Linked DNA regions of Cricetulus griseus. The protein of the gene in region 1 interacts with the protein of each later gene in a pairwise test. Links are inferred from orthologs where the notes say so. Each region holds a gene or a part of one and is shown in the gene's direction. Other genes may lie near its edges. The genes, in order: Creb3l1, Slc35b4 and FXYD domain-containing ion transport regulator 3.

Region 1 (4,259 bases):
CCATGAACTGAGAACCTTGGGGACTAAGGTCCTCTGCCTCCCACACTGACCACCCCTTTACCATCCTCCAGTAGGCACAAACAGCAGTGCCCACCAAGCATGCTGGGCCCTCCCTGCATGCAGAGAAAGCTTGAAGGGCACCAGGCAGGACTGAGGTTAGTTTTGAAGTCAAGATACCCCCCACCCCGGGGGTACTTCCTTTCCTGTTAAGTTTCAGGATTTGGAGAAAGATGAACATGTAAATGCAAAAAATAGTGTTATATTTTAGTCTGTATTTAGATTAATAAGCTGCACTCATAACAAACCCTACGTCCACTTCCAGAGTGTATAGGGAACCTCACATTGCCTTCTCTCTTTTTTCTTCAGCTTCCTTCCATGTAAAAGGTGCAAGCCACAAGGCCTAAAATTCTATAGCTTAACAAACAAACAAACATTAATCCCTAGGCAGGGGGGTTGCCTCCTGCTGACCACCTGGGTTCAAAGTAAGCAGTCTTAAGCAAGAAAGGTCACCCTTCCTGCTCCCAAGGTTCCAGGGAGCTGATTGACAACCAGCTACATCCTTAGGGATTCCAGAACTGGCTTAGCTAAAGTCAGGGGGAGGAAGGGATCACAGTGGAAAAGGAAACGGAGGCTCCCAGGAGTTAAGCCACAAATCACAGTCAGAAATTTCGAAGCCGCTTTCCAAGTTTGGTCTGTCAGACCCTAGAGTGGAGGGTTCCCACTATAACCAGTGCAGGCCACTGGGGCCAGTCTGTAGAGAGCCATATGAACCACTAAAGTGCCTCTGCCACTCTCCATCACAGTCCCCTCATCTGTAGTGCTGACACTGAGCTGGGTGTAGACCAGGGTATGGCCAAGTTCCTGGACACCCAGCACTATCCCTGATTCTTCCTCATTGTTCTAAGTTCATCACTCTGTCCCTCACACAGTGTAGTGATCTCTGCTACCAGCAGACCCAGTGGGGAGAGACAATCCCAAGAGCCACAGCCTCCTCACTGAGATCACCATTAACGGGCATGTTGGTGATGTTCACATGTACAAAACCACACATGTTCCTGAAGCCCTTTCTAGAACAATACTTTGGAATTTAAATAAATAAGAATGTACATCTGAGCTGGGTGGTGGTGGTGCTTGTGCCTTTAATCCCAGCACTCAGGAGGCAGAGACTGACGGATCTCTGTGAGATCAAGGCCAACCTGGTCTACAGAGCAACTTCCAGGACAGCCACGAAGAAAAACAGAGAAACCCTGTCTCAAAAAAAAAAAAAAAAATGTACATCTGTTTTCACCTGTGCCTTACTTGAAACCCCTCAAGGGCTCTCACTGCTGCAAGCTTCCTTATATGTACTCGACTTCAATTTGTGTCCCAGGATCCATGTCATGTTTCAACTTTCTCTGAGCCTTAGCCAGTTAATTCCTCCTGAACTATTCTTCTCATTCATCCAACAGTTAGAGTGAGACTAACATGACCTCCTGTGCTCATGGTAACCACATACCAAGGCCTACATGGCTTTCATAGTTGGTGAAGGGGCAGCCTCTGTCTACCTGGAAGCTGGCATGGCCCCAGATGCCACAGGAACTATGCATACCTCCTGAGATCCAGTTCTCACCTACAGTGTGTAGCCACCTTCTCTGCTCTTGGGTGTAGTATGGCTTGTCTAAGCATAAGAACTTGCCTCTCTGTTCTTTCTGGGCTGAGCCCAGGACTCTTGAGACCAGCCGTTGTTCCAAATATTCCGGAGGGAGGGAGGAGTGTGAATGACATGATGAGGATTGTTCCCCTGGGCAGGTGATGGAGCTGAACCTGTCTCTTCCTCAGGCCCCAGGAGAAATGACTCAGCTGCCAGTGATCAAAGCAGAACCCCCAGAAGTGAGCCAGTTTCTCAAAGTGACACCAGGTAAGTATGTACAGGAGACTCTTTCTGATCCCAGACAGGCACTCCCTCTGTCCAGACCACGCCTGTCCCTCAGAACTCCCACTTCGCTCCCAGATGTTCTCACCTCCCCAGTAAATGAGAATTCTTTAGCTATCTATGCTCCCTCTTTTTCCTCCAGTCTTTCTCTACCCAGTCTTCAGCTGCCATCGTTCTACCAACGCCAGTCCATTTGCTGATCTTCTAACATCCACTCACAAACTGAAGGCCACTTTATAGTCAGTCATCCTTCCTTCCATCCATACATCCATCCCTTACTCAACCATCCACTCATCTAACTATCCATCCACCCATCTACCCACTTATCCATCCAAATATCCGTCCATCCATCCACCCATCTGTCTATCCACTTATCCATCGATCTATGAATCCATCTCTCACTCTACCACCCACACATCTATACATTCATCTACTCATTCACCCATCTCCACATTCATCCATTCGTCTAACTAACCAACCATTTATATGCCCATATATCCATCAAACCATCCACCAAATATCCATAAATTCATCCATCTACCCATGTAACCATCTACCTAAACACCCACCCGTTTATCTATCCGTCCAACCAACGTTTATTGGGTACCATCTTAATTGTTCCAGGCATTGCCAAAGCAAAGAAAGAAGACAGTCTCTGTACCCGAGTAGATCACATGGTTCCTAGGGTCACAGACTCAGCAGTGATATGGGTGTGCAGATAGCAAATCCACAGGGAGCCTGTACAGCTCATTGGGCCGAGGGAGCATGGTCAGCTTCTGTGAATTACTGGAATGAGAAAGGGTAGCAGAATCATTCCAATCTCACCACATTAATTTGTGAATACTGATTCAACATCTATATACATGTGTCAAGCCCTGGGCTAAGTATTGTAAAACTGGACATATGAATAAGATACTGTTGGTGCTTACATGTTGAAGAGCAGCCAGAACACAGACAAGGCGTGAGAAAGAACTTGTGTTAAGTCACCTCGTACTGTGGAGTTCCTAAAGCAGTTCCCCCACTTACCAGCTCACTGCACCCTTGCGGCTTGGAGCTGACTTTTTTCAACCTTATTCAGTAGATGAGGGAAGTGAGGCTGGGGAGCTCACCAAGACCACATGTATTGGAGTCATTACAGTCAGAACTTGATCTCAGGTCTGTGGATTCCAAGCCCTTCATTCTTTTTGGAGTGGGATCCATAAGAGACACACAAGCATCAGAGGAAGGAGAGAGGCCTGATGTGGGTGCCAACCTGCGCCAAACCCTCCACTCCATGGCCATGGAGCCCAGGTTTCCACACCTAGAGCTACCTGGGAGTTATGTGCCACCCCCAGAACTTTCCCAGCATCTCTGCTAGCTGCTGAGCCTGAGACACCTCTTTCTGATGCTTGCTCAGTGTCAGTCGTCCTGCTGCTCTAGCCATGAAGGGGACGGTGTGGAGGAGGAGCATCACTCCTCACCACTCTGCTGCAATCCCGACACCTGCCATCCTGTTCCTGAGATTGGATCAGTATTTTAGAGTCAGAGAAAGGAAAGGGTAAGGACTGGTCCACCTGAGCCCGGTGGATCTGCGTGGGGACCTTAGTCCCCTCTTGGCTTAGAGAGAACCTGAATCCTGCAGAGCCACAGGCAGGGAAGCATATGGCCCAGGAGCCCCTCATCGAGGTTGCAGGGGGCTTCCTCTGAGCTATCAGAGATAGGCAGTACTCAGCCGTCATCTTTTTGTGTGCCAGATGTCTTCCTGGGACTGCCAAGGGCCTTCTGATACTCCAGCCGAGGTTAAGTGCCTATAGGCACATTCCTTTGGTGACAGGGCTGGCACAGCTCATGTTCAGCTGAACTCAGTGTCACACAGACACAGGGTACAACCCTACTATACTAACCTAGCCCTCTACTTTTTGCAGAGGACCTCGTACAGATGCCTCCAACACCCCCCAGCAGCCATGGCAGTGACAGTGATGGCTCCCAGAGTCCTCGCTCTCTGCCCCCCTCCAGCCCTGTCCGGCCCATGGCCCGCTCCTCCACGGCCATTTCCACATCTCCGCTCCTCACTGCCCCTCATGTAAGCACCTAGGGGTGGGCTGACCCTGGAGGTGAGATAAGGAGTACGTTCAGCTAGTGCCATGACCAGTGAAGGGGTCAGGATACCCCACATCTGATACTTATCCCGTTAGATACAGGGAGATGCCCTTCTGGCAAGTAAGGGGGCATTTTTCACTTCTGCCTTGGGATGACTAGAAATCAAAGGTTCCAGAAAGGCCTAGAAGCCATACTGTCATGGAGCTGAGAACCTGACATTTCTGTACTCTGGCAGTGACCCAGGCTATCCCCAAGGAGCACTGTTTGG
Region 2 (4,259 bases), on another chromosome or scaffold:
TACTTGTCATCGGGCCCCTTACCAGGTATCTATTAATAAAGGAATTAGAGTGCTTACATAATACAGGAACTAAACTCTGAAAGAGGTGCAGAAGGAAGTGGAAAGCATAAATATCCCCCTGCATCTCAGATGTTGTTTGCCATTCTGGCCTCTGTACCTAGTATATTTTCTTATTTCCTAGACTTCCCAGTCCAGCTTGAATGAGAAGGATGGATTCCAGGCATTTGCACGGTGGTTACTGGGCAAGTACAGCAGTTACAAAAAGCTAATTACCTCTGCACTTTTGTTTGCTGAGTTTTCTCCGGTGGGACATGTTTCTTGGCAAGATGTTTAGGCTAAACAAATTATGCCAAGGAGGAGAGTGGCACCTGGGACCAATATGTCTCTGAATCTCAGTGTTCAAAAAGTTAAAAGGCCAGTGTTCACTTTTTTGGGGTTTTTTTGTTGTTGTTGTTGTTTTGTTTTTGTTTTTTGTTTTTTTTTTTTTGGCATCGTGTTCTACGTGGGTCCACGTTTCCCATGGTTATCACTGGCATAGAGAGGTCTGTTACTCTCTTCAGGAGTACTGTATAGGGAGTCTTCTGTTTCCTAGTGGCCAGTCCACTGAGTAGAAGTACCTGCAAAAAAAAGGGTGACTTAGAACTCTTGACTCTCAGTTTCCCAGGGACACAGGGGCTTTTTTCTTCTTAACTTAACTGTGTTCCATGTGACAGTGTTCCCAAATCAACTCTCCTGAGAATTTTTAAAAATACAAGTATCTCTGTGTGGAATTAATTAGACAACTCCTACAGGGCCTCATCCTCACTTGAGTTTGGAGGGGAAATGTTTGCCGTAGTAACAGGAGTGGAGTCACACTGATTGGGTGGAAGAAAATAGCAGCAAAGCCTGTGTATCTTGGCTTTGGACTTTAACCCTTTAGCTGCTGTTCTTCATAGAAAAGCTCTCTGCACTACAGGGAAAATGCTTACCCAATAGGAAAATTCTCAAAGATATGAACGTACAATTTATAGCAAAAATTCATGTCCAGTAATCTACCCTTGTAAGCTAATAATTACCCTAGTAATCAAAGAAAACCAAACTTTTCATTTGTGACTTACCATATGGGCAAGATGGTAAATGACTGTCACTGCCAGGAGTGTACAGTAACAGCCATTTTCATAAAAGCCGTTAGTAGACAGAGTATAATCGATTGCCTTTTTCAAAAAACATTGTGTATTGAGTTTTTTAAAGGTCTTAACGGTTTTTTTTTTTAAACATTTGACTCAGCAGTTCCATTTATGAAAAATTATCCTAAGGAAATAACTAACATTTTAAGTATTTCCGTGTATTGATTTCAGAGAAATAACTGGAAACCTAACTGGTCTCATTGCAAGACATTTAACTGTGTTGCAACTACGTGATAGGGTGACGTGTGGGCCCTAAGTCACACTTTCCAAACCCATGGAAGAGAGAAGCCAGGTGTAAAGGGTGTGGACACTCTTACTCCATCTTGGTAGACAGAAACATGCGTAAGGGTGTGGAAATGGGAAGCTAGAGAGGGTTTCATGGTAGCATTGTGGTTTTGAAATTTGCATGTCCTAGTGTGGCAGTTACAGAACTATAGATAGTACTGTCACCTTAAGAAAGTAGACCAAAAGGCACCTTGTAACCTGATCCTGATTTTTAGGCATTGGAGCACTGACCTTTGCCCTGCTGATGTCAGCAAGGATGGGCATATTCCAAGAGACTCTATACAAACAGTTTGGGAAACATTCCAAGGAGGCATTATTTTATAATGTAAGTAACTTTTTGAACCCTGGGAAGGTGAAAATTTCTGATTTATGATGTGTTATGCAGAATGAAGTCCTACCATAACTGACAGATTGTATTTTCGTTAGTAACCAGCCCAGAGACCAGTGCACTGAGGTACTTTAGGCAGGGGACAATGTGTATTTTGAGTTAATCATCTGAGATGATCATGATCTACCAAATAAAACATTTAAGGAACAAGGAGCCAAGGCCTGCAGAGTCCCTGTAGGTAAAATTGTTAAAATTAATATGGAAATCCAGAAAGAGACAATGAGTTCCAAGGCAGGAAGTCAGGAGTGTGATGTCAATGGGGGGTGGGGATTCAGGGCCTGAGTTCCCCAGAGGGGCTGTGCTCACATGATTGTTCAGTTCAATGCATGCACTTGCCAAGCTTCTTCGCTTTAAGGGGTGACCTAGCACCCTCTCCTGTAGCTTCCCTCTACCCCTCCTTCATTGCTATTGAAATATGTCCAGAGAACCCCCCTGTCCCAGGCCAGGGCAAGAGAGAGAGTTCCCTCTCTGTACAATTAATCTGAACAGGCAGTTTTACACATTCACGCGGAGCTAGAGTTTGTGGCTAGGGATTTTTAAAAAGTAAGCATTTTATTTGGCTTGTATCTTTCTTCTTTTCTTTTCTTTCTTTTTTAAAGATTTATTATGTATACAGTGTTCTGCCTGCATGTGTGCTTGTACACCAAAAGAGGGCTCTGGAAGAGCAGCCAGGTCTCTTAACCGCTGAGCCATCTCTCCAGCCCCTGGCTTGTATCTTTCATTGAGAACAATGCCAAGCATAGTGACAGCTCAGCAAGGGTCACGTGACGTGACCTCACATTGCAGTGCTGTAGTGAGGAGGGTGGTGGTTGTCAGGGACCTTTTGTGTCCTCTTCCTCTTCGGCCTCATCGCATCATTGGTTTTTCCCTGACCTCAGACTGCCTTCAAATCTCTTTTTGTACTAATTTCTGAATTCTTTGCCATCTGTGTGGTCCTTGTCATTTTCAAATCCAGTATGGAGCAAGTCTTTTGGGGCAGAATAACTGCTGAAGCCTCCCTTTCCCTTTGGGGGAAGGGAGGACCCTACTTCTTTGGTTTTCTCGTTGGTGACCATCAGACTCCATAAGATGTCACGCCATATGGTGTCAAGGGCACAAGGCACTGGTAATTTACCTTAGAGGGGCTAACTTGCTAATTGGACAGCCTCAAGTCATCGTAAAGCTGTTCTGTGTTGCTTTGTATTTACCTGTGTGTGATGTGTTTCTTCCCACAGCACGCCCTTCCACTCCCGGGTTTCATCTTCTTGGCTTCTGATATTTATGATCATGTTGTTCTGTTCAATAAGTCTGGTAAGTCTGGGGTCATGTGGCAGTATTACTTGCCAGTTTCTGCATTTGGCTCGACTACAGCTTTATCTCCTGTTCATCAGAACCTTTGCACCTTCCAGGTGTCCAGATGGATGGTGCTGTTAGTCAGTAGTCCCAGCAGCAAGGGCTTCTCTGTGCTCTTTCCTGCTCCCTGCAAATAAGAATATCCTCACCTCTCCTCGTTTCCTTTGGGATTGTGTGTTTGTATTTGAACATGGATTGTTACATGTTTTGAGAATGCAGACAAGCAGTACCAGCACTCAACTGGAACGGGAGCCCTTGAGGTTGGGTGGCAGCCGGCTGTCTCTGTGTCTGTCCTCTGCCATGAAAGGCAGAGCTGCTCAGAGATCTAGGCTGCCTTGGCACCAAGCAAGAGGAAGCAAAATGATGACAGGGCTTATTTCCCTAGCTACAGATTAAATAAACAAGATAAATTAATTACCAACAAAATGAAATTTAAAAAAAGAATATATGAAGGTAAGATGTTGCTTCTTCAAGTGCCTACTTGGTAAATTGATGACAGTCACCTTGAAAGATGTACAATCACTTGTACAATCTGATCATCCAGGAATGTTACACAGATAGGTGAACACGTACGAAAACCCTTTTGGGAGGGAGGGGGAACTGGGATTAGAATGTAAAAAAATAATAATAATAAAGAAAACCCTTTTTTAAATCAAAGGTTTATGTTGTTAACACCACAGGTAGTAAATCATTTTGTACTGTGTTGGGCCTGCTCTGCATGTGCAGCGTTGTGTCTGTCATTTGGCCTAAAATGTGTTACAGAAGTAGGTAGTATGGGAAAGAGTCCACAAGGCTCTGACTTCCAAAGCACCATTTCTCACTATTAATACCATAGTTGTGAAGATCTCGAAAGTCCCCACAGAGCTCTGACTCTTAGTGTAGACTGGAATCAAGGTGAATGAAGGCATGGACAGTGTTATTCTTTTGTTTAAGCTGCAGCTGCTGATATAAAGAAAGGAACAACGGATGAACAACCCACGTGGAGTTTATTTACCTGGAGGGAGAGGGGGATGGGTAGTCAGCCAACCCAAGAGGAGCCAAAAAGAAGAGAGAGAGGGATGGGTGGCAGGACCTTTTAAAGGGGATGT
Region 3 (4,359 bases), on another chromosome or scaffold:
GAATTAGCTTATCTTCTGCCTTGGCTTCCCTGGTAGCTTGCCTGACAGGCCTGGGCCGATTTAGATGACTAGAGAAGCTGAAGGGTTTCCCAGGCCTCTGGGGGTGAGCCCAGGGAGATGGAGAAGTCTGTGAGAGCATATGGGACACCCCTGCACCCTCAGTAGCTCCATTCCTTACAAGTGTGTGCTTTCCTGTGGGTAAAAAGGCTTAGCTCTGAAGGGTGACGCTGGGGCTGCTGCTGCTAGGGATTGAAAAGGGAACGTACAAGGTCACTGCAAAGTGCCCAGCATGTGAGGAATGGGGACAAGTGTTAGCACTCACTATCTTGTGTGTGTGTGGTGTGTGTGTGTGTGTGTGTGTGTGTGTGTGTGTGTGTGTGTGTACATGAGCTCACGACAGGTGAGCAGGGCAAGTGGGGGAGGTGCTCAGAGAGAAGGAGCTGACTAGAGGCCTCTAGGGTAACGGAAAGGCAGACTATTAGGCCAGCGCTGTATGGAAGGGGCCCTGTGCTGAGTGATTCTCACTGGGGAACTGTGGAGCGTTTGCTGCTGAGAGAAGCCCAACAGGGCCAAGAGCTGGGATAATACGGAGCGAGCGCAGAGGCCTAGTCAAGGGTGAAGGCTAGGGTAGGGGGCAAAGATTGGACTTGAGAGAGTGCCCAGTGGGGTCTGAAGGGACAGACCCAAGGGTGGGGCAGGAGACAGGGTAAGACTAAAGCCAGGATCCCCCTCTGCACACGCCCCATCAACTTGGCATCATTTCTGCCATACACCCACCCAGGAGCCCAGGGAATCTGCTCAGGCCCCAGAGAGAAGCCGGCAGCGTGTTTTGGGCAGGCTCCAAGCTGTCTGTGGGAGCCACTCCCGGAACCCGGGCCTCTTGCCACCTGGCTCCTGACACCCTACTCCCCAAAACACCCCGAGGCCCTCACAGTTCTGAGTTATGAACAGCTAGTGAGGGACGAGGCTTTGTTGAAACCCTGCCTTCTGGACCAAGTGATCTTGGCCATCAGCTTTCATCTCTTAGAGCCTCAGTTTCCCCATCATACGGATAGGGGTGACAAGCTGGATGTGGAGGTGGGCACCTCTAACCTTAGCATTTGGAGAGCTGAGGCAGGAGGATGGCAAATTCAAGGCCGGCCCGGACGTAGCAAAACACCACTCCACCTCTTCTCTCCAAGAACAGATTCATTATGACAATGACAATGGCTGTTCCTTTGTGGAGCGTGAGTTCTCACCCAGCCCCCACTTGACTTTGGGGCTCCTTATCTCCCAGCCTGTGAGTGAGCACCAGTCACTACCAGCCTTCCTGTCTGGACCTTGGGCTGTGCTCCTGGTGAACAGCGGGGTGGGATAGAGAAGCAGAGGTGCGGGGCCTTGCGTCCTGGTCACCCCGCTAAAGTTCTGTTCTCTGGACTCCTCTAGATCAACGCTGCAACATGCAAGAGGTCGCTCTGAGCCTGTTGGTCCTCCTAGCAGGTGGGTATCAGGCCACCAAGCTGCCCTTTCCCTTGGACCTCTCAGCTGTGTGGTGACAAGCTGTGTGTGTGTGTGTGTGTGTGTGTGTGTGTGTGTGTGTGTGTACGTATGCATACATACATGCTCGCAGCCTCGTGCATGTGGGGAGATGCCATTTAATTTTTGATGACAGCAAGCCAAAGGCTCGGCCCGGTACTCTTGTGTGCCACGGCCTCCCTACATGGCCTTCCCAGTTGTGCCTAGGACCCTAGCAGCAATGTAGCAGGTAACTGGAATGCCTCGAGCCTCAGTTTCCCCTCCTCTGAAAACACAGAGAACAGCACATAGTCATAGGGCCTTCGTGAGGCTTCAATGCGTTAATGTTTGAACAACAATATGGCAGGGCCTGGGTGGAGTGGGCCCCAGGCATTCATGCCTCAAATATAATTAAGCATTGTTTTTCTCCCTTTAGCAGAACTCAGGCCCGGGACGAAGCTGAACAAGCTTCAGCCAGAATTTAATCCTTGGCCCTTGCTTCTGTCGTGTTTCCTCCTTTCCCCCCTCGGCCTCTTTTGTGTGTGCATGACTATGTGCGTTCATTATGTGTGCAGGTGTGCTTATGTCTGTGTGCCTGGGGTGTGGCAGCCAGGGGATGGCTTTTGGCATCATTTCTGAGGAGCTAGCCACTTTTTTAAAAATATTATTTTATGCATATGTGAGTTTTGCCGTTTGAGTGCTTGGTGACTGTGGAAGCCAGAAGAGGGTGTCAGGTCCCCTGGAACCAGGGTTACAGATGTTTGGGAGTCATCATGTGGGTGCTGGGAACTGAACTCGGGTCTTCTGCAAGAGCAATCAGTCGTCTTAACCACTGGGCCATCTCTCTCCACCACCACCCCTGCTTTTCCGCTTTTTACCTTACCATTCTTTGGACACAAGTTTCATTCTGTTTGGGAAAGGAATGTAAGAATGAATAGAAGTTGCCAACGGTGCGTTATTTCAAAGAGGTCAGCGGCCCTGCTAACTGTGGGGTGTGGCTGTGAGGGCTGTGGGCTGTGGGCATTGCTGGCGTGGAGAAAGCTGTCCTGGGAACAGAGACCATCTGCTACCTGGAAGGGCAGAGCCTCTGGAAACATTCACTCAAACAGTCCCAAAATGTACCCGGAGTAGGATCGGTTTCCGGTGGCAAAATGCTGGCATGACTCACAGGTGAGGAGTGGGTGAGTGAGCCCACATCTCCATGAAGGCGCGTGTCCAGGTGGGACTAGCCAGCAGCTAGATCCTGTACACTTTGGAGGTGGGGCTGCTCCCCCACCTCCACATGGAACATTTTCCCTCAGGCAACAAACCTCCATGGATCCTGCTGAGGGCCCTTCTAGGGCCACCATAGTCATCGCTTGTCCTTACTTGCCCCCACAGGCCTGCCTTCTCTGGATGCCAATGACCCCAAAGGTGAGTCAGAGCCCACCCCTCCACCCCCCTCACCCTAGACCCTGCTGGCGCCTCGGATTCATGGGTGTGTCCTGTCTCTCTTTGCAGATAAGGACAGCCCTTTCTACTATGGTAAGAACCGTGTCCCCTCCTCTCTTCTTCTCAGTCCCACACATTATTTTGTGCCAAGCGGCCCACACAAGGGTGACTGACAGTTCACAGTGACCCAGGGACCACGACAGGAGAAGGTGGGAAATGGGTGGTTGAACATCCAGATAGGTTACAGGAATAGCCGTGAGGGGGAATTCAAGACAGACACAGGACTGAGTCCAGTCCACAAGAGGCATTAGGTTTAGACCAAACACCAGAATGCTGGTCATGAAACTTTTCCCAGACAAGGTAGGGAATTCTACCCCACTCTTCTCCACTTCCCCCTGCCGCTTGCCCCCTGCCCTCTCGTTCTCCACGGACCCTCACCCCTGCTCCAGCTATCATCCTCAGATACAGAAGGCAACCGCCGATCTCATGACCTGTGCGCCTGCTGGTTCTTCTGCCTGGACCACTGTCTTCCGTGTGTCTTCAGGGCCACCTCTGCCTCCCTGCAGATCTCCGTTCCAGTGGGACCCTCTCAGAGAGCCCTTGCTTGGTCACTCTCTCTAAAGACCCTCATCTTGACTTCCTGTCTCCACACTGATCTTTTCCCTTCAGATGGCCTCTCTGTCCCTGAATGGACATGGAATATCTTGTTTACTTGGTTAGGAACGGCAATGTGCGCACTACTGGGCTGGGGTTTTGCTTTTCCCTTTCACTGCTCTCAAGTTAGATAGACTGGGTGGGGGACATAGGCTGTCTTTGACATTTTCTCTGCTTCCCTCTCAGATTGGTACAACCTCCGAGTCGGCGGGCTCATCTGTGCAGGGATTCTCTGTGCCGTGGGCATCATAGTCCTTTTGAGTGAGTACAGGAGGGGCCGTTGGCGGGGGGGTGGGGGGTGAACAGGGCAGGGACTTGCGTTCCTCCCTCTGACCACATCCGTCTCCAACAGGTGGAAGGTGCAAATGCAAGTTCAGCCAGAAGCCCAGGTGAGACGGGTTCTGGGCGAGACGGGTTCTGGGCACGCCCAAAAGGGCTAAGCCTTGTGCAAAGAGAGCACAGGCCTGGGGGCTCTGCCCTGAGGTCTTCTGGGCTTGGCTTCATGCAAACTATCCTAAGAAGGCTTTGGTCCCTAGCTTTGTACAAACCTACAGTGGAAAACCAGCCAAGAAACCGTATAGCTAGGCAAGCTGAGACTTGAGGACAAATGAGGGATTTATTTGTATATTATCACTTCTATTTTTCTAGTCACCGTCCAGGGGATGGGCCACCTCTCATCACACCAGGTAAGACATTTAGGATGACTGGTGGTTGGGGATAGGGCAAGGGTCACAAGTGGTGGTAAATGGGTGGGAATATGCCTGCACGGGGGAGAAGGGA

Evidence for each region.
Region 2: the proteins of Creb3l1 (region 1) and Slc35b4 interact in binary tests that used the Homo sapiens proteins (3 or more experiments, as listed by UniProt). The two-hybrid records come from large-scale screens. The link is inferred for Cricetulus griseus from reciprocal best matches to the Homo sapiens genes CREB3L1 and SLC35B4.
Region 3: the proteins of Creb3l1 (region 1) and FXYD domain-containing ion transport regulator 3 interact in binary tests that used the Homo sapiens proteins (3 or more experiments, as listed by UniProt). The two-hybrid records come from large-scale screens. The link is inferred for Cricetulus griseus from reciprocal best matches to the Homo sapiens genes CREB3L1 and FXYD3.

What each region holds. Positions count from the first base shown.
Region 1 is NC_048599.1:84,749,617-84,753,875, forward strand, and holds part of Creb3l1 (cyclic AMP-responsive element-binding protein 3-like protein 1), read left to right. Parts: intron 1-1,818; coding exon 1,819-1,897; intron 1,898-3,816; coding exon 3,817-3,974; intron 3,975-4,259.
Region 2 is NW_023276806.1:193,809,337-193,813,595, forward strand, and holds part of Slc35b4 (UDP-xylose and UDP-N-acetylglucosamine transporter), read left to right. Parts: intron 1-181; coding exon 182-242; intron 243-1,666; coding exon 1,667-1,776; intron 1,777-3,053; coding exon 3,054-3,129; intron 3,130-4,259. UniProt on the Homo sapiens protein: Antiporter that transports nucleotide sugars across the endoplasmic reticulum (ER) membrane in exchange for another nucleotide sugar.
Region 3 is NC_048602.1:4,719,811-4,724,169, forward strand, and holds the start of FXYD domain-containing ion transport regulator 3, read left to right. Parts: upstream 1-1,439; coding exon 1,440-1,479; intron 1,480-2,874; coding exon 2,875-2,907; intron 2,908-2,994; coding exon 2,995-3,018; intron 3,019-3,765; coding exon 3,766-3,840; intron 3,841-3,931; coding exon 3,932-3,968; intron 3,969-4,176; exon of another isoform or gene 4,177-4,227; coding exon 4,228-4,265; exon of another isoform or gene 4,266-4,359. UniProt on the Homo sapiens protein: Associates with and regulates the activity of the sodium/potassium-transporting ATPase (NKA) which transports Na(+) out of the cell and K(+) into the cell.